Arabidopsis thaliana: one gene and its partners. The protein of the gene in region 4 interacts with the protein of the main gene of each other region in a pairwise test. Each region holds a gene or a part of one and is shown on either strand. Other genes may lie near its edges.

The links.
Region 1: the proteins of AT2G43370 (region 4) and EXO70E2 interact in a two-hybrid assay, tested with the Arabidopsis thaliana proteins (one large-scale study listed by BioGRID).
Region 2: the proteins of AT2G43370 (region 4) and AT4G39050 interact in a two-hybrid assay, tested with the Arabidopsis thaliana proteins (one large-scale study listed by BioGRID).
Region 3: the proteins of AT2G43370 (region 4) and SUA interact in a two-hybrid assay, tested with the Arabidopsis thaliana proteins (one large-scale study listed by BioGRID).

What each region holds. Positions count from the first base shown.
Region 1 is NC_003076.8:24,551,875-24,557,566, reverse strand, and holds EXO70E2 (exocyst subunit exo70 family protein E2), read right to left. Parts: upstream 3,824-5,692; 5' UTR 2,956-3,823; coding exon 1,036-2,955; 3' UTR 524-1,035; downstream 1-523. Other genes in the region: ECT3 (evolutionarily conserved C-terminal region 3), read left to right, coding at 1-82; RPA70D (Replication factor-A protein 1-like protein), read left to right, coding at 4,926-5,053, 5,300-5,446, 5,552-5,692. UniProt on the Arabidopsis thaliana protein: Influences the subcellular localization patterns of other exocyst complex proteins (e.g. SEC5A, SEC15A, SEC15B and EXO84B) leading to their recruitment to exocyst, well-defined large punctate structures throughout the cytosol.
Region 2 is NC_003075.7:18,191,129-18,196,106, forward strand, and holds the start of AT4G39050 (Kinesin motor family protein), read left to right. Parts: upstream 1-1,946; 5' UTR 1,947-2,333; coding exon 2,334-2,659; intron 2,660-2,787; coding exon 2,788-2,885; intron 2,886-2,967; coding exon 2,968-3,057; intron 3,058-3,191; coding exon 3,192-3,244; intron 3,245-3,618; coding exon 3,619-3,684; intron 3,685-3,781; coding exon 3,782-3,835; intron 3,836-4,057; coding exon 4,058-4,117; intron 4,118-4,286; coding exon 4,287-4,365; intron 4,366-4,459; coding exon 4,460-4,527; intron 4,528-4,669; coding exon 4,670-4,726; intron 4,727-4,807; coding exon 4,808-4,912; intron 4,913-4,978.
Region 3 is NC_003074.8:20,071,150-20,079,138, forward strand, and holds the start of SUA (suppressor of abi3-5), read left to right. Parts: upstream 1-1,952; 5' UTR 1,953-2,156; exon of another isoform or gene 2,157-2,253; 5' UTR 2,254-2,322; intron 2,323-2,649; 5' UTR 2,650-2,722; coding exon 2,723-2,770; exon of another isoform or gene 2,771-2,954; coding exon 2,955-2,995; intron 2,996-3,196; coding exon 3,197-3,911; exon of another isoform or gene 3,912-4,001; coding exon 4,002-4,073; intron 4,074-4,160; coding exon 4,161-4,253; intron 4,254-4,343; coding exon 4,344-4,423; intron 4,424-4,570; coding exon 4,571-4,724; intron 4,725-5,442; coding exon 5,443-5,527; intron 5,528-5,668; coding exon 5,669-5,760; intron 5,761-5,852; coding exon 5,853-5,921; intron 5,922-6,480; coding exon 6,481-6,660; intron 6,661-6,815; coding exon 6,816-7,008; intron 7,009-7,618; coding exon 7,619-7,989. Other genes in the region: SCR (GRAS family transcription factor), read left to right, coding at 1-932, 1,047-1,476. UniProt on the Arabidopsis thaliana protein: Splicing factor that controls alternative splicing of the developmental regulator ABI3. Reduces splicing of a cryptic intron in ABI3, leading to a decreased in ABI3-beta transcript. Regulates the splicing of the receptor-like kinase SNC4/LRKL-2.6.
Region 4 is NC_003071.7:18,011,565-18,016,058, forward strand, and holds AT2G43370 (RNA-binding (RRM/RBD/RNP motifs) family protein), read left to right. Parts: upstream 1-1,703; 5' UTR 1,704-1,866; coding exon 1,867-2,014; intron 2,015-2,106; coding exon 2,107-2,204; intron 2,205-2,287; coding exon 2,288-2,339; intron 2,340-2,532; coding exon 2,533-2,603; intron 2,604-2,780; coding exon 2,781-2,871; intron 2,872-2,967; coding exon 2,968-3,043; intron 3,044-3,142; coding exon 3,143-3,221; intron 3,222-3,425; coding exon 3,426-3,812; 3' UTR 3,813-3,966; downstream 3,967-4,494. Other genes in the region: BIO2 (Radical SAM superfamily protein), read right to left, coding at 53-258, 537-643, 860-1,039, 1,362-1,565.

The DNA of each region.
Region 1 (5,692 bases), on a different chromosome or scaffold from region 4:
GGCTGAAGTGACTAAAGAATCGAAAGTGGTGAAAGAGACCGAGTTACCTGTGGAGAAAAATGCTGTTGCTACTGCCTGCTGAACCAACCTTTGGTTTTAAGTGGGAACTGGGTGGGCTGTTTTAGGCTATTTAGAGCGTTTCTCTAGTTTTGTTTCCATTCCTGAATTTGCAGACTTTTTTTTTTTTTTTTTTGGAACCGAGTTGAGAGGGTAGTGGCTTAGTAGATGAAGTTTTGGCATGAGCATTCATCATCTTGCAGTTATTCTCTATCCCTTTAGTAATGGTCCAACATATGAGGATATGGGTAAAAGATTGGTATTGAATCAGCTTATTCAGTTTTATATAACTTTTCAGGCAAGACAAGTAAGAGAAACATTTGGCATCTGCTTCATACTCGAATGCAGGAATCAAACGGTCCAAAAAAAGTTCCTTCTCATATTTTGACAGAAGATTGTAGGTTTTTGGACATAAGGGTACTATAGTTTAGACAATTTTCCGAAGATGAGAATAGATGGAGAATAGCAAGGCTACCATCAAATCTTCTAAGCATAATTCTCTAGTTATCTTCTTGACTGGGGAGAGACGTCATTACTGACATTCATAATCAGCCCAGTCTTCTTTCCACTGCTAGCTCACTTCCTTCACTTGTTCCATCAACAACACTTTGCTGTTGCATATGCCAAAATCCAGCAGAGAATACAGAGGTGAGTAGTAGTAAGAAGTCACCAAAGATATCTCCTAGTCAAATAGCCCAAGTCCATACCTCAGTTAAATCAGATGAGTCCATAGAGTTAACCAAAAAACCATCGTCATTATAAATGTTAAATCCGACTTAAACATTGAATTTGTATTAAGCATGTCAAAGATGACATAGTGACAAGATAGCCAATTACTATTACATCCCCACAATGGAGTATAAAAATTCTACAACTTTATTTGCATGTAAGCAATCACAAAACATTGCATAAGTGAGTAAATAACAAAAGATCAAAAGAACAAAGATGGAGTCCATTAGGCTCAAGTCATCATCATCATCATCTCTTACGAGAGCTGCGCAGTGATCTTGGAGATGGCAAACATTCAAAGAGATCAAGGAGCATATTCTCAATGTCTTCACAAGTGTATCGGATGTGTTTTTCGCCTATGCGAACTGCATTTCTTCCAAGAAATCCTCTGTAAGACTGAACAACCTTGACAGAGGTCGAGATGTGAAGATCATCGCGGAGCTCTGAATCAGGGACTGACCAACGGGTTTGGTTCTTGTAAACATCATCAAATGCAAGGCTGAAAAGTCTGCATCTTTCTCTCAGGGTTCTTACAGAGTCGTTGTTGTCTCTGAGCAAAGCGAGTATGGAGCTCCATGTGGATCTCTCGTAGTTAGTGACATTGCATTGGTAGCTTGCAATGTGCTTCCTGATCCATTCGTCTCCAAACAAGCGTCTCAGCTCTGATCCCTTTACCTTCTGGACCATGTAACGGAAGTTGTTCATCAGGAAAATGGATTTCAGTGCTTCGTCTGCGTACAGCTGAGCTTTTCGCTCAAGGCTGGATTCTAGAGTTGTGACGATTGACCTGAGGTGTCTAGCCATTGGAGAGAATGTCGAAGGGAGGACATCTTCTCCTGTTTTCTCGGGGATGGAGTCGTCAACGTGTATGTTCTGAAGCAGTGAGTTTAGTGAGTCGGTATACTCCGGGAGAAGCTTCAAGTAGTTCATTACATACCTGGTCAGGTGATGAATCCCGCCTCCATGAAAGGGGCGTGTGGATTCATCTGAGGCTATTGCGTCTTTGAACTTTAAGAAGGTTGTGGTTGTATGATCAGCTAGTTTTTTTGACAGGTTGTGAAATGCAATTCTTAAAGACGAGCCTGTTTCATCGGGGAAGAGGTTATCGACATCCACGAGAATCTCTGCTGAAACCTCATACATACTAAGGAAGCGCTCAAGCATTTCTGGCTTGCAAGATCTCAGCACCACAGCTTCTCCAAAGTTGAGGAGTGATAGAATTGCATCTTTTGAGATTTCAATGAAGCAAGCTGTAGAAATTGACTCAAAGTCTCCCAAAATCTGATCACATAGCTGTTTTTCACTGGCGAGATAGACCTGAGTAATGATCTTAACAACCTTTGTCCATTTTCTCATTGCACCATTCAAATCCTCCCAGTCCATTCTGAGAACATCAACGCAGCTGAATCTTTCCATTTCGAGAGTAACCATATACTCCTCCAGAGCTTCTCTTTGAACGCCGATGAAAGCTTCACAGAATGGTTGATCATACTCGCAAGCAAACATGGCGTTTGCAATAGCTTTGATGTGAGGAAGTACGATGGGATCAACCAAATCAGAATTATAAAAGTCCGATATCTGTTCATCATCTTCATGTGAAGAAGCTTCGACAATAACTTCATCATCTAGGGAGACAAAGGACTCGTCGTACACAATATCTTTTCTACGGGAACTAACAGCCAAGTAATCAGGCTGTACATGCCGTTTGTGCTGATGCAGAACATCACAGAGCTCTTTCTCAAGCCTCAACATCGCGATGTCAAGAGCAACCGTAGCTTGGTTGTAAACATCTTTCTCCATCTGGTTAGTTTTCATGGGCAAAGCTTTGAAACCCACAAGAACTGTTTGAACGTCATACAGGGCTTGAAAGAACTGATCAGCTTCAGACAGACCAGCTTCAAACATCGTCGACTGGTTTGTCTCCCAACTGCGGATTCTCTTCACAGCTTCTTTGAATCTCTTCTTGATCTCAGAGAATCCTGCATCTTCAACTTTGGTATCAGCAATCCCAAATGTTGACAAATGCATCTCTAGGTCACTTAGGAGCTTTCTCAAATTGGCATCCAGGTTGTTATCAGATGCCCTCAGTGCCTTAACAACATGGTGACATGCCTCAAAGACATGATTGTTCATTCCGGAAACAGGAACCTTGGAATCAAACTCTGCCATAACCAAAACCAAAGACTAGAGCCTAAACTCAACTTAAATTTGACTAGACAACTAAATACACACGGCAGAAGAGAGAAAAGTCTAAAGTGTTTCCAGGTGAAAGCACAAATGTAAACGAAGGGATGTTATATAAAGTGATTACTAGGTAAGCTTAACTCCAAGAACTATACTTTGAAAAAATCTCAAGTCATCTCGGAATGAAGTAAACAGAGAGGAAGAGAAATCCCCACATGAACATAGTAAAAACCATTACTACTTAAGCTTAATCCAGTTGACATACTTATGGTAAAAAATCAGTGAAGCATTCTTCAAATCTAACATTTTTCCTCATACTATAAGCTCCCACACAACACCCCAAACTATAAGCTCCCACTTATGGTACCATACTATAAGCTCCCACACAACACCCCAAAGAAAAAGTCAAGTCAACGGCTTTCCCAAAAAAACTTCTTGTTTCTGTAAAAAAGGAGAAATTTTGATGTTTATTAGAAAGTGATATGTTATTTGATTTCACAGAAACATTTTATCATACACTCGGTGATCGAACAGAGTAAACGTACCGTGAAACGGGAAGAAGAAGAAGAAAAAAAAAAAAACCAGGAAAGAAGAGATTATGATTTTGATAACTGTGTGATCAAAGTCTCAAAGAACAGATTTTTAGAAGCAAGAGCAAGAGAGTTTCAGCGAGATTATTGGGGAAGAAGAAGGGAAAGAAGAAAAGTTGTGGTGCACGTAAACTGTATTTATAAAAACAAAGTTGAAAAATGGAATTAGTATTCCAACGAAGGCGATCCCGTAATTTCGTAGATTACGAAAGGTTTAGAAAATGATAAATTTTTGGGCCGCCCCGAATCTAATTGAGATTGATTCGTCCATTGACTTCCCCATATGGCGGGACGAAAACCATGGGGATGGTAAGTCTAATTAACTTAAATTTGGGGGTCAAAATGTAATTAATAAACTTCGAAATGAATTTAATTTGTTTCAATTACTTTTACGAATTTGAACATTTTATGTTCTATCTCTTGTCTTGATTTTTGATAATGTTGTCGTCAGAGATAATCGAATTTCATTAAACACATTTTATGGTGGATTTTTTTAGAGCTATTGGATACAATAGGGATAAAAGTATTATGTTTTTGGAAAATAAGGGGTACAATAATAAATTAGTGTAATAAACGTTGATGTTGATTAGTCAATACTTGAAGTTTGACTGGCTCGCAATGTATTGATCTGAACCGTCCGATTATATTTGTACGGCTCACACTAGTAGTTGACAGCTCATATCAAGTAAGGACCTCAGCAAGTTTTTTTTTCCCAAGTCAAGAAGTATAAATTTTCTCTTTATATAAATTAAAATTTTAAATGTTTGCCTCACGCAATGCGTAGAATTATTTTTTTCAATTGTCAAAAACATTCAGAGAAAAAAAAAAGTCAAAAACATTAAAGATTGTTGATATTGTTTAATCTGGAATTGGTGTTTGATTTTGATCCTGGGGATTTTGTATTTAATCTTTTTCTGAAATAATAATATCGTATGTGTTCTTTAAGAAACAAAAAAATTGTATTTGTTGGAAATAAATTTTAGATATTTATGAATCATAACGTGTGATACGGTGGATTCAAGACCCACACATAAAAACAAAACCATAAACTATGGGCCTGAAGTGAAAGGCTTTTGTAACACAGTTTCTTTCGCATACAAAGTCCATTATCAAACAAAACAAAATGCGCCAAAAAAATGGAAAGATACTGAAAAGAAGCGGTAAGAGTTTTTTGCCAAAAAAATAGAAATTGAAATCGGCGGGGGAACAATTAATCGAATTTAATAGCTCCCGCTTAAAGCTCTCTCCTTTACAAAAACCCTCGTACCTCTCTCTCATTCTTCTCACTATCTCACGGCTTTTAGTTTTCACCATTCTGATTAAAGAGAAACCAAACGTTTCATTTTTCAATATCTAGAGAGAAAGATGCAGACTTCGGTGACCCCAGATGCCATCTCCACCGTTTTGTCAAACCCATCCTTTGATTCGTCTTCCGATCGATCTGAGATCGTTGTTCAAGTTGTGGATCTTAAACCTATCGGCAATCGCTATACGTAAGTTTCCTTGGCTTTTCATGATCTGGGTTTTACTTGATTTCTTAAATCTCGCTTGTTCCAGCTTTAGGTCAGTGTTATATTCTCTCAATCACAATTGTATAGCTAGATTATGATATGCAACGACTTTGATGACTCTATGATAGAAGAGATCTGGGTTTGTTGATAATAGTTTGTATATTGCCTAGTTTTGGGTTTTAGTTACCGATTTTGTTCTGATGGATCTGTTTTGATTTTGGTTGACAGATTTAGTGCAAATGACGGAAAGACGAAAGTCAAAGCAATGTTTACTGCTTCACTCACACCTGAAATCATTTCTGGGAAGATCCAGAACTTGGGTCTAATTCGTCTCATTGATTTCACTGTTAACGACATTTCAAGCAAATCTACAAAGTAAGACTTCTCTTTTGCTTCTTCTTTACATGGATAATCACTCTGGTTCGATTCTTGAAATCAACAGTTACTAACATGTGTGTTTCTCTATTGTCTCTGTGTCAGATATTTCCTTGTGACTAAATGTGAGGCTGTTGGTTCTGTGCTTGATTCTGAGATTAACTTGGACAGTAAGAGCGGAGAGGAGGAGGCTCGTGAGCCCAAGAAGCAGAAACTAGAGCATTCTCCTGTCAGTCCTCTGAATGA
Region 2 (4,978 bases), on a different chromosome or scaffold from region 4:
CTATGACAACTACTTAGCTTCGAGAAGCAGGCACTATATATTTATCGCATAACGGTATTTATTTCATTCAATAATCTTTTTGTTGCATAAATTTACAAAAATTTGAGTGTGTGATGTGTACATATTTCTGACGAATACTTTTTGTTGCATTATCCAAATTTTTACATGTTCCCGAGCCGAGAGTCTAAGACGACGATTTCCAAATTATTGTCGTTGCTGTTATTATAATTGTTAATAATAGTAAGAATTATTATTATTATTTAGGACACGCAAGATTCCACATGATACTGCTTAAGCACTACGTCGAGCTAAAATGAAATACTCGATTTAAATGAACTACCCCATTAGTTACTTGAAGATGAAACGAAACAATTTGGTTTTGGTCTTTTGGATCATATAGTTAAACGTTATGTATCTTACTCAGTTTATTTTAATGAAGTTTGTTGTTTGGTATATCAATTAGCCTTAGATGTCAAATCAAAACGAAACAAAAACATGAAAATTCAATTTGGCGTTAAATCAAAATAATAATTAATATTCCATGGATAATTAATATACACTTAGCAAATTACCGAAGTACCCTTGCTATCTCGTTGTCGTCAATAATCAAAATTACAGTATTAACCCAATTAAGAGCGTTTAGCGTCTACGTGTAAAGCGGTATCAGGAGAAAGGAGCAGCGATCACATGGGTGGCTTAAATCTATATCCTCCGGTTCCTCACCGGCCAATTATTCTCGCGCGTGTCTCCGCTCCTCTCTGATGCGCGTCACTCAAAAAGTTTGAGTCAAACTCCAGTAATATTTTTGATTTATTTTGTATTTTCAAGAATTTCTTAAAAATTGCTGTTACGTAATTTACAATGCAATGTCTCGCGGTAAAGGTAGAGCCGGAACTCAAGTCAGATCAATCTCCGTGTATGATTGTGTTCGCATCCAATGTTAATAATTTCAGGATTTGTATTTTCCAAGTTAAAGGATACTATTGTTAACTAACGTATATGCTGACAAAAAAAATAAAAAAATAACGAATATTATAAATTTATATCAGTCGCATAATGAAATGTGTAATTTCACCCAGACAAAAATATCTCTACAGAACAAAAAAAAAACGTTTGTTATATATGTTTATTCTGTATATTTAAAATGTAGTCTAACGTTTGTTCTATATGTCTACAATGTGTATTTATATTTAAAACATATTCCATCCTTAATTTGCTTTATATTATTGTTACACCATTCATAGTAATGGAAGAAATATCTATTGGCATTCTATACTTTATGATATATATATATATATGAACCAAAGTATTGTATGTCCAACTGGGACATTTTATATGACGGCGGACGAATAAAGCTTAGCAGATATATATGTACGTGCTGGTAACTCCATATTCATTATTTTGGATTTAAGTTGTAACTCCATACACAATACACATTGATGGATTAGCATTGCATTTTTTTTATGGCATTTTATATCAAAAGATTCTCAATCAAAACTTAGATAGATTCCTAAAGCTTGTAATTAAAGCATCAAACATATTTGTTAACCAGTTATTATTTTTGAAATCGAGTAGTGTTTTGTTGATGCTACATATTATTCCATCATAAAAAGAAAATTAATGTGTGTGTAAGTGTGTTTGAAATAAGTCAATATCTTAGTACAGTAATTAACTAATTATACGAAGAAGAACTATAAGGGTAAAAACGGTAATTACAGTATTTGGTCAGCCATAGTTATTCCCGCTCGTCTCTTGAAAAAAATTCAAACCGGTAAACCATTTTGGTCATACACGTTACAGTAACACGGTGGTCTGGTCTTCAATAATAACCACGTCAGCAGCATACAGTAAAAACTACTTTAAATGTTTTTTTTTATTCTCACCCAAGAAAATAATTTATTTTTGTTTTGTCGTTCTCCTTCCTAAATAATTTTTCAACTACCACAATTAATTTAAAAATTAAAAATAGAGTATATTTGGAAAGGCACAAAAAAAAGAAACAAAATTCAAAATCTGAAATTTCTCAGCCTCCTCGTTTCTTCACCCAGAGGAGAGAGAAATCTGAGGAATTCGATCTTCGCTTAAAGAAGACGAAACAATCTCTCTCTCTTTCTCTCTTCAATGGTCTCACCATCTCTGTCTACCATCTCCTAGCCAAAGAAGAAGACGAGAAGAAGAAGAGAGGGTCACAACAATGCTTTATTCTTCTTATGTCTCCAGCCATGTGAGCTCCCACTGACACATTCTCTGCATCTTCGGAAGTTTTGTTTTGGTTTGATTCTTCTCACCGATTCCTGCGACCGAGTTTGACCCTCGAGTTTCGAGGTTAGTGGATGGCTTCATCCTCATCGAGAACTAGAAGCAGTAGACCTCCAAGTCCCGCTTCTTCCACTTCTTCTTCTCATCTCAGCAACCGTCTCATTCCTCGTTCTAACTCTACCTCTGCTTCCTCATTGATTACCTCCGCCGCCGGAATCGCCTCCCGATCTATGACGCCTAGTCGCACCTTCTCCGACTCGGGCCTTATCGGCTCCGGCAGCTTTGGAATTGGATCGCCTGTTCCCTACCCGTCAGAGGAGCTTCTCGGTGACCCTATGGACGATACTATTAGCTCTGAGCGGGATAGTATCTCCGTCACCGTTCGTTTTCGTCCGTTGAGGTATGCTAGATCTGATCTCGCCATGGACCAGATCTATTGCAGAGATTACAGTTTTCATGTAGATGCAATTGGAGTCAATTCTTTATTGGGGTTTGCAAATTCAAGTTTTTATCTTTGTGGGTTTGCAGTGATAGAGAGTATCAAAGAGGAGATGAAGTTGCTTGGTACCCTGATGGTGATACATTGGTTAGGCACGAGTATAACCCACTCACAGCTTACGCATTTGGTATTTGGTTCACCTCTCAATTATTCTGAATGTTTTCTTGTAATCATTGAGTGAATGTTTTCCAAATTTGTTTTGATGCCAGATAAAGTTTTTGGACCACAGGCAACTACTATTGACGTTTATGATGTAGCTGCGAGACCAGTAGTCAAGGCAGCAATGGAAGGTGTTAACGGTAAGTAACATTGCTGCAAAATTCAGCTTTACCAAAATCTGTATCTTTTATATAGAAATATCCTCTAAACCAATTGGTCCGCAAGTAGTATTGCTTGCAACATATTTTCTGACTCAGGGTTGGAATTTTGACAGGAACCGTTTTTGCTTACGGTGTTACTAGCAGTGGAAAGACACATACAATGCATGTAAGGGTTTTAAAAAAGAAGAATCCTTATACGCCTTTCTCTCTAGTTTTTCTTCAAAACACATGTGCTATGAATTGGGATCTCTTCTTCAACTTGGTCCCCCTTTGGTATCTGCTGGTTATTCTGGGTTACTCTAAACATTTACATGGTAGCAAAAGATACCATACAAATACCAACTTGCCATCATTAATTGGTGATGGTTATGTGAGTTGGAAATCCTCGTATGAATGGAATTTGAAGGTCTTCATTTAGATTGGCTGTGCTTATCTTTAGTGAAGTAGCTACGTTGGGTCTTTAGTTCCCGTCCAAACAAGTAGAACCTAAATCTGATGTTCTTTTTGTTCTGCCATTGGTTGCTTTTGCAATATGCATAGGGTGATCAAGAATCTCCTGGGATCATACCGCTAGCAATAAAAGACGTGTTCAGTATCATCCAGGATGTAAGTGGTCTTAACGGGGTTCATGTCTTTTCTCATCTCATCACGACTTTTTTATATGATTTCATGCTCGCTAACTGGCTACATTTTTATATTTCAGACTCCAGGAAGGGAGTTCCTGCTCCGTGTTTCATATCTTGAAATATACAATGAGGTAAGTGGAACTTTTTATCCTTGATATATTTACTTGGTAATCCCTGAAAAGTAGATATTTTTAGATTGGGATATGTTTTCTAGTTCTTCTGCCTTATCTTTGAGAACTAGAATGCTTAAAAATATAGAGAATTGGGTGACTGTTCATGATCTTCTTGGTTTTACATGTGTGCTTCTATGTTTCAGATATCCGCAGTTTATCTGATAACCGTCTTTGTATCAGGTGATAAATGATTTACTGGATCCAACAGGCCAAAACTTACGTGTTAGAGAGGATTCCCAGGTTTGCTTCAACCTCTATAGAATGCTTGGCTTTCTCCCATTTCTCTCTCACACACGCACACACATTGTGCTCTACTAGAATAAATGTGAACAAATTAGCTTAGAATCACATGTGAATTTGATATCATTTGAGAAAAGATATTGATTCGTTTTGCGTTTTGTTTTTCTAGGGCACTTATGTTGAGGGTATCAAGGAAGAAGTTGTTTTGTCTCCTGGCCATGCACTATCATTCATTGCAGCTGGGGAAGGTTATTAGATAATTTAACCCCTGAAACATGTTTTGATTTTGTCAACTCTGTCCTTCCCGCCTCTACTTAACATTGCTGTTGTTTTTAATTGCAGAACATCGTCATGTTGGTTCAAATAATTTCAATTTGTTGAGCAGCAGAAGTCACACTATATTTACACTGGTACGTCTTCATGCTCCAAGCTCCAAGAGCTTGTCATATTGTAATTTGTAGCCTCTTTTCAGTGTCTCGGCATGATGTTTTGCTCTTACAAGGTGTCCTTACAATGTACATGTTTTGAAGTCTAATTTGTATGTGTTTGCAGATGGTTGAAAGTAGTGCTACTGGAGATGAATATGATGGAGTTATCTTTTCTCAACTCGTAAGGGCCTCTTTCTTTTTGTTATTGTATAAGATCAATTAGTTTTGAAAATGGGACCTAACTGTATATTTTCTTGTTTAGAATTTGATTGACTTAGCTGGATCTGAGAGTTCGAAAACTGAAACAACTGGATTGAGGAGGAAGGAGGGTTCATACATCAACAAGAGTCTTCTAACTCTTGGAACTGTAGGTGTCTATTTTTGATTCGAGCTATCTTTCTATTTTTCATCTGTTTCTTTAGACATTTAAGGT
Region 3 (7,989 bases), on a different chromosome or scaffold from region 4:
CCTCAAACTTTCGAACCTCTCTATCAGATCTCCAACAATCCTTCTCCTCCACAACAGCAACAGCAGCACCAACAACAACAACAACAGCATAAGCCTCCTCCTCCTCCGATTCAGCAGCAAGAAAGAGAAAATTCTTCTACCGATGCACCACCGCAACCAGAGACAGTGACGGCCACTGTTCCCGCCGTCCAAACAAATACGGCGGAGGCTTTAAGAGAGAGGAAGGAAGAGATTAAGAGGCAGAAGCAAGACGAAGAAGGATTACACCTTCTCACATTGCTGCTACAGTGTGCTGAAGCTGTCTCTGCTGATAATCTCGAAGAAGCAAACAAGCTTCTTCTTGAGATCTCTCAGTTATCAACTCCTTACGGGACCTCAGCGCAGAGAGTAGCTGCTTACTTCTCGGAAGCTATGTCAGCGAGATTACTCAACTCGTGTCTCGGAATTTACGCGGCTTTGCCTTCACGGTGGATGCCTCAAACGCATAGCTTGAAAATGGTCTCTGCGTTTCAGGTCTTTAATGGGATAAGCCCTTTAGTGAAATTCTCACACTTTACAGCGAATCAGGCGATTCAAGAAGCATTTGAGAAAGAAGACAGTGTACACATCATTGACTTGGACATCATGCAGGGACTTCAATGGCCTGGTTTATTCCACATTCTTGCTTCTAGACCTGGAGGACCTCCACACGTGCGACTCACGGGACTTGGTACTTCCATGGAAGCTCTTCAGGCTACAGGGAAACGTCTTTCGGATTTCGCAGATAAGCTTGGCCTGCCTTTTGAGTTCTGCCCTTTAGCTGAGAAAGTTGGAAACTTGGACACTGAGAGACTCAATGTGAGGAAAAGGGAAGCTGTGGCTGTTCACTGGCTTCAACATTCTCTTTATGATGTCACTGGCTCTGATGCACACACTCTCTGGTTACTCCAAAGGTAAAATAAACATTACCTTTTAATCACTCTTTATCTATAAATTATTTTAAGATTATATAGGAAAGATATGTTCTAAAAAGTGGCTTTTTTGGTTAATGATTGGGGAATGAACAGATTAGCTCCTAAAGTTGTGACAGTAGTGGAACAAGATTTGAGCCACGCTGGTTCTTTCTTAGGAAGATTTGTAGAAGCAATACATTACTACTCTGCACTCTTTGACTCACTGGGAGCAAGCTACGGCGAAGAGAGTGAAGAGAGACATGTCGTGGAACAGCAGCTATTATCGAAAGAGATACGGAATGTATTAGCGGTTGGAGGACCATCGAGAAGCGGTGAAGTGAAGTTTGAGAGCTGGAGGGAGAAAATGCAACAATGTGGGTTTAAAGGTATATCTTTAGCTGGAAATGCAGCTACACAAGCGACTCTACTGTTGGGAATGTTTCCTTCGGATGGTTACACTTTGGTTGATGATAATGGTACACTTAAGCTTGGATGGAAAGATCTTTCGTTACTCACTGCTTCAGCTTGGACGCCTCGTTCTTAGTTTTCTTCTCCTTTTTCACAAACAATGTGCCCATAAATAGATTTACCTGTTTTTTTTTTGTTATGTATCAAAAAGAGAGGATTTTTTGAAGTCAAATTGTTCTCACTCACACTCTGTATTGGCTACCTGATTGGTGGAATACATAGAAGTTAATCATGAAGATTAGAACACTTGATATTGAAGAAAACACTTGAAAATGGTACATCAATAATAAAAATGATAACACGTTTAACTGAAAAATCATTTACAAATACACAATTCTTTTGAAGGCTACCATTTTTTTTTTTGGGAATTGTTATGTATTTTTTTTTTAGCAACTTGAATTGTTTTGGTTTACTTTTTTCCAAAAAAAAAATATATACATGTTGTTTTTTATTTTTGTTATGGCAAAGAAATTGAGATGTTTGGATTTTTCAATTAAAAAAAAAAAAACTCATCTACGCCTTTTCATATTTCGCTTGAACAACAACGAAACCCTAATCTGGTTAAAGTTGGATTCGGCCAAGTCCACCACCGTGGAGCTCTGAATTCATTTCTCTTGTAATTCATCGATCGCTGTTGAATATTTTCAATTTGAGTTCCCACGGTAGAAACCATTCCGATTTATACGGCTACTTCATCGCTCGAGCTCTCTCGTTTCTGTATCGATCGCAGCGTATCTGATTTGTCACCGGTTTCAGGCTTGTTTCTCTGACCTCTGGTTATCGGCTCCCTGATTTTGCGCTCTATCTATTAATCAATCTCTTATTCCAAGTCTTTGTTCCGCTGTTATCACAGCTCATCTTCATCTTCCATTCACTGGTGTCTTTGGTCCGGCGTCGTTGTGCTGCTTTCAGTTCATCACAGGTATTCTCATTTTTACCTGTTTCTTTTTTATTGAGGATTTCGTGGATGTGACCAGTTCAAGTTTTTTGTATGTTACTTTGTATAGCTTTTAAGACTCGATTACTGAGAATTTAGGCCTAATCGTCAGCTGAAAATATAATGATCTCTACTGTTGTATGCATTCTTCTCGTGCTTTTGTTACTTCATCGCCAATGCATGTTTTTCTACTCTGAGAGTGAGAGAATCTCTAGCTAGTTCCTACAAAGTCTCTTTGTGATCAGTGTTGGGAATTCTTAATTATATATGCATTAAGATATACCTGTCTCAGACTCTATACGTGATTTTCAGGAAAGAGCTTTAAATATTAAGCTTTGAATATTCTCTCAGACCATCAAAGATTTGCTTGGTGCACTGGCCGGAAATGGATCCTAGTCGATATGGTCGTCAGCAAGAATGGGATAATAACAGTGTAATTGTGGTTTTCTCCTTACATATATGGGATGATAAACAAGATATTTTTAGGGATGTTATGAATCTCAACTCATCCGTGGAGTGAGAGACTTGGGAGAGTGAGGATGTGGATGGGATTTGGCTAATGTAATATCCGTCAATGATGTTTGTTGCTGACATAGCTTATTCTCTTCAATTCACAGGCTCCGGAGGGTTATGGTACTCAGCATGATCCAAATCATCGGTGAGTGCTAGTAAAATGGATTACATTGATGTAGTTGTTAATTTGTTATTGCTCATGGGGGTATATTTATTTTAGCTACTGTAACTAAATTGTATTTCTTGTACTTTATTTGGTTTGGTTACTTGTGCCGAAATATTCATGATAGTTCATATTTCATTTTTTTAATATCTTTTCTGTACCTATACTACATTGCTCTTACAGGTTTGGCGTATCATATGATGACGGATATCCTGATGAAAGGTTGATGCGGGATGATGTCTACAACTATCCACCTGGACATAATACTCTGGGTGACTTGCCTCAATCTAGAAAGCGAAACTATGAAGAAAATTATCCCAGTGAACTTCGCAGGCAAGAAAAGCCTTACATCGATTCAAATTATGCTGCTGACTATTATCATGATAGTGAAGCTGGGAGTCGTAATGGACATTACCGTGATCATGAACACGAAAGGTCGTCCAGATATGATGGCTGCGATGACTATTCTTGTAATGATAACAACTATAGATCGAAAAATTACCATCATAGCAGAGATGATGGTCGTGAAAAAGATTATGATTATACTCGCCGAAGTTATGATTCTGAGTATGAAAGGGCCAGTGTGAGAGATGGCAGTCGAAAGAGCCGTGATCCGCAGGACAGAGAACGGAATTCTCGAGATAGAGAATGGGATTCACGTGATAGGGAGTGGGACAAAAGATGTTACAGCCGCGAAAGAGATGAGAGTCCTCATAAGAGATATGAGAAGTCACGATCTCGATCTACCGGACGTGGGGAGTTCTCTAGATCAAGATCTCCTAGAGGTCGGAGCCATGGGCGGAGTTACCGGGAGGACAGCTATGAGGGGGATCACTGGAATGAAAGTGAGAGGCGAAGAGAATATGAAGATAGACATAACCAGGATCATTTTTCTGCTGTATAAAATATTCTCTCATCCCTGGTCTATATTCTTTTGTTGCGAAGACATTTAAAAAATCCGTTCCTATATTTTTATGGTTTTTGCTAGACCCCATCCGCCACTGTTGTTGTGAAGGGTCTCTCTATGAAATCAACAGAAGAAGATCTATACCAGATTCTGGTAAACTCTTCATTTTTTTGAATCTGTATGTCCTCAGGTTTAAACAATTTTTCATGCATGACTTCATTATTCCCATGTGCATGCTAGGCTGAATGGGGTCCTTTGCATCATGTTCGTGTTATTCGGGAGCAAAATTCTGGGATTTCTCGTGGATTTGCTTTTATTGATTTCCCCACGGTGGTATTTGCTTTCAACTAATCTGTTAATTCCTTGCGCTTTTTCTTGTGATTTCTTCAACACTGTGTGCATTTATGTATTTTGTCTGAGCAGGATGCCGCACGCACCATGATGGATAGAATTGAGCATGATGGTATAGTTTTGGATGGAAGGAAACTTATGTTCCATTACAGGTCTTTTTTTAAATAAACATAAGACTTTGATTGATTTAGATATTACCTATGGAGGGATCATAGAATTACTACACATTTAAATTATTGTTTCTTGACCGTTTCAGTATCAGAGTATAACATTCTTACACTAAATTGCGTGTGTTGTAGCAGCCAACCTACTGGTAGGGCTGGTGTGTCCCGTAGGCAGGAACATGCTTCTAGACGCAGTTATGGTGGAAGTCGAAACATGATAGTTCCCACAGATTGGATCTGTACAATCTGTGGCTGTATCAATTTTGCGCGGCGAACCTCTTGCTTTCAGGTTGGTGCATTGTTTTGGATGAAAGTTCTGTAAATTTCATTGTCAGGACTAGAGTATAAACCCATCTGTTAAGAACAGAAATTACATATATTTAATTACCGGAAGAACTACTCATTGTTTGGTGATTCTAGAGTCTCAAACAAAGTGATAACTACTCATGATTTGGTGACGACAATACCTTAAAAAAAATAGAACCGATAAAACTTTCAGAATATATCTGTTTTTTGCTCCTTAGAGATTATTTGCAGTTCCTTTTGGTGACGAATATGTATCATCAATTGACACTTTGTTTGAGACTAGGGTGGCATACATATTTTGGTAGTAATGGTAAATGAACATTTTAATTTAATGTCGACACATTGATGTCCATACCTATGCTAGAATGTATTTGTTTGCATATACAATAGTTTGTTTGGAAATAGAGAAATTTCCATTTTTCAAATGTCAATAAAAAAAGAAGTCAACTAAAACCCTTTAACTGATCTTTTTTGATGGGTTTTTAATTTATCTTTCCTTCTATTTACTTAAACTCTGTGAAGTCTTTATCAATAGTTTAATCTTGTGGTGGACAATTGTATCTGTAGCCCTTCTTTGCCATGCCGCTGTCTGTGTCTTGATTTATGATAGAACACTCAAAAGTCCTAAGTTCAGTTATAATATGGAATAACAAATTTGTGGCCATTGCATAAATGTCTGTGATCTCTGTCTCCTTATGCAGTGTAATGAACCAAAGACCAAGGATTCTCCTTCAGCGGATGTAGGTTTATCAAACTCTGCAGCAGGAAAACGAATTTCTGAGACAGGTTCTGATCAGCATTTTTATTTAAGATGTTTTAAATTTCTTTCTTGAGTCAGAAACAGTCGCAACTGTTAAGGCCATAGTCTTTGTACTTTTCTACATGCCATATATACCTAAGATACATTCTGCTTATTTTCTTTTCCAGGTCCAACTCATGTCCTGGTTGTACGTGGGTTGGATGAAGATGCTGATGAGGAAATGCTTCGGTATGAATTTTCCAAACATGCTCCTATCAAGGTTAACAAAAACCCTTTTGGATTCGTTGTCTATTAAGATATTGTACTTTATATGTCAGTTGACCTGGTTTTCCTCTTTCCGCCATTTTGTAGGATCTTCGTCTTGTGAGAGACAAATTCACTCATGTTTCACGAGGATTTGCATTCGTGCATTTCTATTCGGTAGGGTCTCAAAGCCAAGTTGGTTGTTGAACTTACTCCTTAAACTCTCTCTTCTGCTTCGCTTTTCCCTTACTGATGATTTAAATTGCAAGTGTGCCTTTTGATCAAAGATTTATTCGATTGTGTAGAAATTAGAAACCCAGTCTAGATGATCAGTACCACCTGGTTTTTATTCTGCTTGTGAAGAGTGATTATGTTTTATAGTTTTTTTTTTTTATAAATGTTTAAGTGTCTCTTTAGTAATCATGATCTACTAGTTTTGTGGGTATTTTTGGCAATGTTTGGTGGTGAGCGCACTCAATCATTTATTTTGTCGTACTTTTTTATAATCTACATTCGACAACCACCTTTTGCATTGACTTGTAAAAGCTCTTGTAGTAGATTATTTATTTCGTCACTGATTCTCTTACCAATTTCATATCTGAACGGTGATCAGATTTTGTAGTAGAACTGCTTGATATGTCCAAATATCTATTTTCCCCCAGTTTATGTGTGTATTTGACTTTTTTTTAATCCACCTACCAACTTGAAACAGAAGATTATGATTATGTTCGTGTAGGTTGAGGATGCTACTAAGGCACTTGAAGCAACAAACAGAACAGCTCTTGAAAGGAATGGTAAAATTCTTAGAGTTGCGTATGCAAAGAGTGTTCATGGTTCTGGAACTGGTATATCAGCACCCTCGCACTCCAACAACCTCGCTGCTGCTGCAATTGAAGCAGCAACGTTTTCTCAACAGGTACTTGAAGATTGTTTTGATCCAGTTTCCCTCGTTTGTATTGGTGATCACACATTGATCATTTAATTAAATTTTCCAGTATCTTTAGATGAGGATTGTCATTCTTATGATTCTTCTACTCCATGTGCCCTGACACTCATGTTGGTCCTTATTAGTATGACGGTGTTGGATGGGCTCCAAAGGAATACAATACTGGTGAGAAACAAAACACTGGAGGGCAGGCCCAGGGTGTTGGGGAAATTGAATCCCAGAAAGGGACTTCTGCTCCACAGTCTGGCTATGTGTGGGATGAAGCATCTGGTTATTACTATGATGCGGCTTCTGGATACTACTACGATGGAAATTCAGGTCGGCATTTACTTATATTGTTATTTATTTCTTTGAATTGATTGTATGGTTGGGTAGCTGCAGCTCTAATTCCCATATCTGGCATTGCAAAACATGTAATGGGCAAAAGTAAGATTGATCCTGTTGGCTGGTTGTATAGTCCTGCTATAGATGTATTCTATTATAGGATAACTTCTTGGCAAAAATAAGTCGTCAGCTCTGGTTTGTTCAAACTATCCTGTTCTTTTTTATGATTGTGGAATTCTTATACTATGTATGCACCAAACTAGCAAACATCGAGATACAATCAATCAATCATACAAGTGTATGTCTTAATTAGACTTTTAAATAATGGCTGTAGGGATTCAGCAAGTGTTATATGATTACTATTATGGCTGCTGTTGGACTTCCAATGGAAGTTTTTTCTTTTAGTTATTGCTGAGTTATGCCTTCTTATATATGTGTATGTGCCTTAAAATTTCGCATCTGATATGGCACAATGATAGACTGTTTTAATGATCTTGGTTATCACTAGGCACCTCTTCTTGGTGTGTGGTGATGGGAAACTTGGTTTCACTGGTATAAGAAGTGGGTAATATTCTCTATTAATCGTATGTTTCTAAATATACAGGTCTCTATTATGACAGCAATAGTGGGCTTTGGTACTCGTATGACCAGCAAACACAACAATATGTTCCTTGTCCTGATCAGAACAATGAGAGTAAAGTAACAGAAAACCAACCAGACTCTGCCAAGAAGGAGAAATCCAGTCAACAAAAGGTTATTATCTCGGCGGCTACTACCCCTAATGTAGAAAAAGTTCTGTCCTTACCAGATGCGGTTCAGGCGGCTGCTGCAGCAGCAATTGCATCAGAGAAGAGAGAGAAAGAGAGAGTGAAAGAGATAAAACTTGCATCAAAGACTAGCCTACTCGCCAGCAAGAAAAAAATGAGTAACGTTTTAACAATGTGGAAGCAGCGGAGCCATGAAACCCAAATACAA
Region 4 (4,494 bases):
TAGTTCTATAGAATTGAGGCATACAAGAATACTATTTTCATATCAAAGTTACCTGAACAAACGTTGATTCCAGCATCACGAACATGGCTAAGAGTTTCAAGGCGATCGTCATAACTTCTAGTAGTGATGACGTTTGGGTAGTACTCTCTTGAAGTATCAAGATTGTGGTTATAAGCAGTGAGGCCAGCCTTCTTTAGCTCTAGTGCTTGTTGTTTCTCAATCATGCCTAAGGTGCAGCAAACTTCCATCCCCATGCCTCTGTTTTAAAGTGAGAGCCCAGAAAGTTAGTAAACACATTCAGCCAGACACCATCATCAACATCATATTCATTCTGCTCACGGATACATCAAGTACACTTTGAAATTTTCACTTTAGTTTGACATGCAAAAATGTTCATTCTAGAACCATTAATGATCGGTTCGGTGGGTTATCTTTTAAGTTAGCTTAGATTCAGAAGCAGCTGAAAAAGGGATCATATAATGTAGTATAAACAAGGAAATTCAAAGTTCAACTTAAAAAGCATAATAGTAAGGTACCTTATTTCTTTGATGTATTCAAGAATCTGGCTGAAGTTGGTTTTCCGTCCAATTGTATCTCGCCAAGCAGCACCCATGCAAAAACGTGTGCTCCCAGCTTCTTTTGCCTAACAACACATCAAATTTGTTAATTCAAATCAGAAGAGCTCATTACATCGTCAAAATGCTTCATTAAACAATTAGAGTCTTTTGGATAGAGATAGAGCTCGGATTGATAAAAACAACGTTTTGGTACATAGTAATGCATGTCCCCTTCTTCTTGATACATTCTGCTAAGGATTCTACATTCAGCAAAAATAAACATTCACAAGAAAAGTGCAAACCTTCTTAGCAGCATCAATGACAGCGTCCTTAGACATGAGTCTTTGTGCCTTAACTCCAGTGCTATATCTCGAAGACTGAGGACAATATGAACAGTCTTCACTACAGCCACCAGTCTTTATGGAGAGGAGGGTACATTGTTGTACCTCCCTGAAGTTATGAACATGTCTATGAACCTGAGCCTGAAACCCAAAGAGTCCACACACCATCGTTATTCAAGTAAAAGACAACTGATAACGAGATCAGATGAGCAACCAAATGAATAATACCTAGCTCAATAGACATTACAAAGACACTAAAATCCGGGAAATTAAGACAAATGTTTCAAAGAGAACAAACATGTTCTGGGTTAAACTAAAAATCGATACTTTCCACCAATAATTTAACAGAAACCCAAAGCTTTCTACTTCAAATTTGTGATTTAGAGTAGCTAGAACAACAAAGAGAAGAGTAAGTGAGAGAGAGAGAGAGAGAGAGAGAGAGAGAAGAAGAAGGGTAAATTACTCCATGGAAGAGGAGGTCAAGAAGAGGAGAATCATAAACAGACTTGATTTCATCTCTACTCCAATCGTTTCTGGGACCTTCTCTGATAGTCCTCTCAGCTTCAGCTGAAGCAGCAGATAATGAAGAATAGCAAGAAGCAGATTGCAGACCACCCGAGACAGAGGGTCGCAACTGAGATCGAAATACAGATCGAACAAGCATCATTTGATCTGCTAATCAGAAAATGTGGAAAAAGAAGAAGAAGAAGAAATGAGATTTGGTGTTTGGTTTGTGCTAGAGCTTTTCACTCTTCAGTGAGTGATTCACCTAACCCAAAGCAGCCACCGTTGGAGTTTCCGCCTTCGTGTGGGACCTACGAGAATATCATATATCTTTAACTGGGCTGTAATAAGCCCAATTTATATGTTGGGCTTTTTAATAGTAATCAATTCAAACGACGACGTTATTCTTTATTTCCTTAAACAGCCGGAGCCGCCGTGAGAGAGAGAGAGTCGGGGGAGAAGAAATGAGCGGCGGAGGAAACAACGTCGTGAACAAAGTGTTCTACGCGACGTCGTATCATCCGATTCAAGCCGGAAGTATCGACGGAACTGATGTTGCTCCACATGATAACGGCGTCCGTCGAGCTCTTCTCTGTTATAACGCTGGCTTATGTATGTATACTCTCTCGTTCTCTCTGCTCCTCTTTTCACTTTTATCGTTTGGTTTCTGAATTCAAATACATTGATTTGGGTTGTTTTGAAAGATGATCCTTCTGGTGATTCGAAGGCTGTTGGAGATCCTTACTGTACTCTCTTCGTGGGTCGTCTCTCTCATCACACTACGGAGGATACACTTCGAGAGGTTAATGATTGAAATTTCACTTAGTTTTTGATTTTCGTGTAGACTATGTTTTGAATATGATTATAAAAGTTTCTTCTTCGTAGGTGATGAGTAAGTATGGCAGGATTAAGAACTTGCGCTTGGTAAGACACATTGGTAAGATTTTGCAATTGCTCTACTTATGACATCAACACTTTGCTTTATCTTTAGGAAATTTATCATCTTTCTATTTCTGATGGTTTGTTACTTTCTACCAAGATATTTGTCTAAGCAGAACTGTGATTACATATTTCCTCTAAGTTCCACATTGTGTAGTATTGAGTCTCCTCTTCTTGTTACCTTTTTTTAGTGACGGGAGCTTCACGAGGATATGGTTTTGTGGAGTATGAGACTGAAAAGGAGATGCTTCGTGCTTATGAGGTGCTGTGATACTAAATTGCATTTTCTTTTTACCTCTTGTTTTTGTTGTTGAAAGCTGTCTGAACCACTTACTAAGGCACCGCAATGTGATTGTTTCATTAACATCTCCGTGTAATTACTGGAAACTAGTGGAGTTTGTTTATCAGAGTGAGAATTTTTTTGGTGTTTCTTTAGCAGGATGCTCATCATTCACTAATAGATGGGCGAGAGATTATTGTTGATTATAATAGACAGCAATTGATGCCTGGATGGATACCAAGAAGACTAGGTTTGCCATTCTTTACCTTTATTTTTGTCTGTAATGAAATGTCATAGGCGTTATATTTTCATCCCTTACAGATGAAATCTATTTCTCTCTTAACAGGAGGTGGCCTTGGTGGTAGGAAAGAATCCGGACAACTTCGCTTTGGAGGACGAGATAGACCATTCCGTGCTCCCTTGTATGGTTTTGCTTTACTCTTCCTTTAGCATGTCCAGAGATAACACCAGCTAAACATAGTGGTCATGAAATGGGCATTCTTTCTATTTGTTAATATCAGACGACCAATCCCTCATGAAGATTTGAAAAAGCTCGGTATTCAGCTTCCGCCTGAGGGAAGATATATGTCGCGCACACAGGTCTACCATGTCTTGAACTTCACCACCACTCTATAGTCATTTGAACTTTACCCCTGTTCTGTCTCTGGTGCTATCTTATTGGGTCATTTGTTAATGTTCTTCTGCTAGAAATAATATATTAAATGGGTTGTTCAATGTGTCTAGTGGAAAGCTGATAGTTTGTAAACTAAAATCTTGGTACCACAACTTACTTGTTGGATGCAGATCCCATCACCTCCAAGGAGAAAAGGAAGTGTGTCGGATAGAGAGGAAGAATATTATCGGGAAAAGAGTTCTGTAGAACGGGAAGAAGAGTTTAAAGAGCGAAGCAGCCTTAGGTCATATCACAGTCACAGGTCGAGCGCACACACACACAGTTCTCATAGAAGACGCAGCAAAGACAGAGAGGAGTGTTCCAGGGAAGAGTCCCGTTCTGATAGAAAAGAGAGAGCACGAGGTATGGAAGATCGATATGGTGACAACAAGGGTGAAGTTTCTGGCAGCAAAAGATCAAAACGTTCTGAAGAAGACCGATCTCGCAAACGTCATAAACACTTGCCTTCCCATCATCATAGGAGGTCCTATAGTCAAGATCATCATTCTTCCGACTAAGTAATCATATTGTAAAAAAAATAACAATAATATTTGGTGTTACAGATTTTTTTTTAATAATATTTGGTGTTAGAGACTTTTAAGAGTGCCTTTTGAACCAAAGAAAAAAAAAGTGTAGTGTATGTTAATCAAATATAGCAAAACAGAAATTGTCTTTTTTTTTTAGTTACAAACAAGATATTTGTTTTGCAATTAACATGAGTGAATTGTCTTTATATCTTAAATTATGGCCGTATAGATTTGATTGTTAAGATATAAAAAAATTTGGGATGATGCAATTTGTAATTTATCTAAATGGATAAAATAGTTCATCAAATATTATTATTTTTATGAACTATGACATTACAGTTGGATTTGTTTCTGTAGTTTATCTTATATTTCTTTTTTTAGAACTAATGAACTATTATTATCTTATATTTTGTTTTGTATTGAATTTGTTCGAATATAAAAACTCACATTTGATGTTGAAATAGAGATTTAGTTTGTCTGTGTAGATACTAGATAGTTGTTGTATCAACAGACAGAATTGAAACTTGGTTTCAGATTCTTGTTTTGTTTATTCAAACTCACTTTGATTTGATTGTATTTGTACCTCTCATGAATTGTCTATTAGGAGGATAGAGAGTCGCCTCAGATTGACTAGAGACAATGTCATTCTCGTACTCGTTGCATGCAAGTGGAA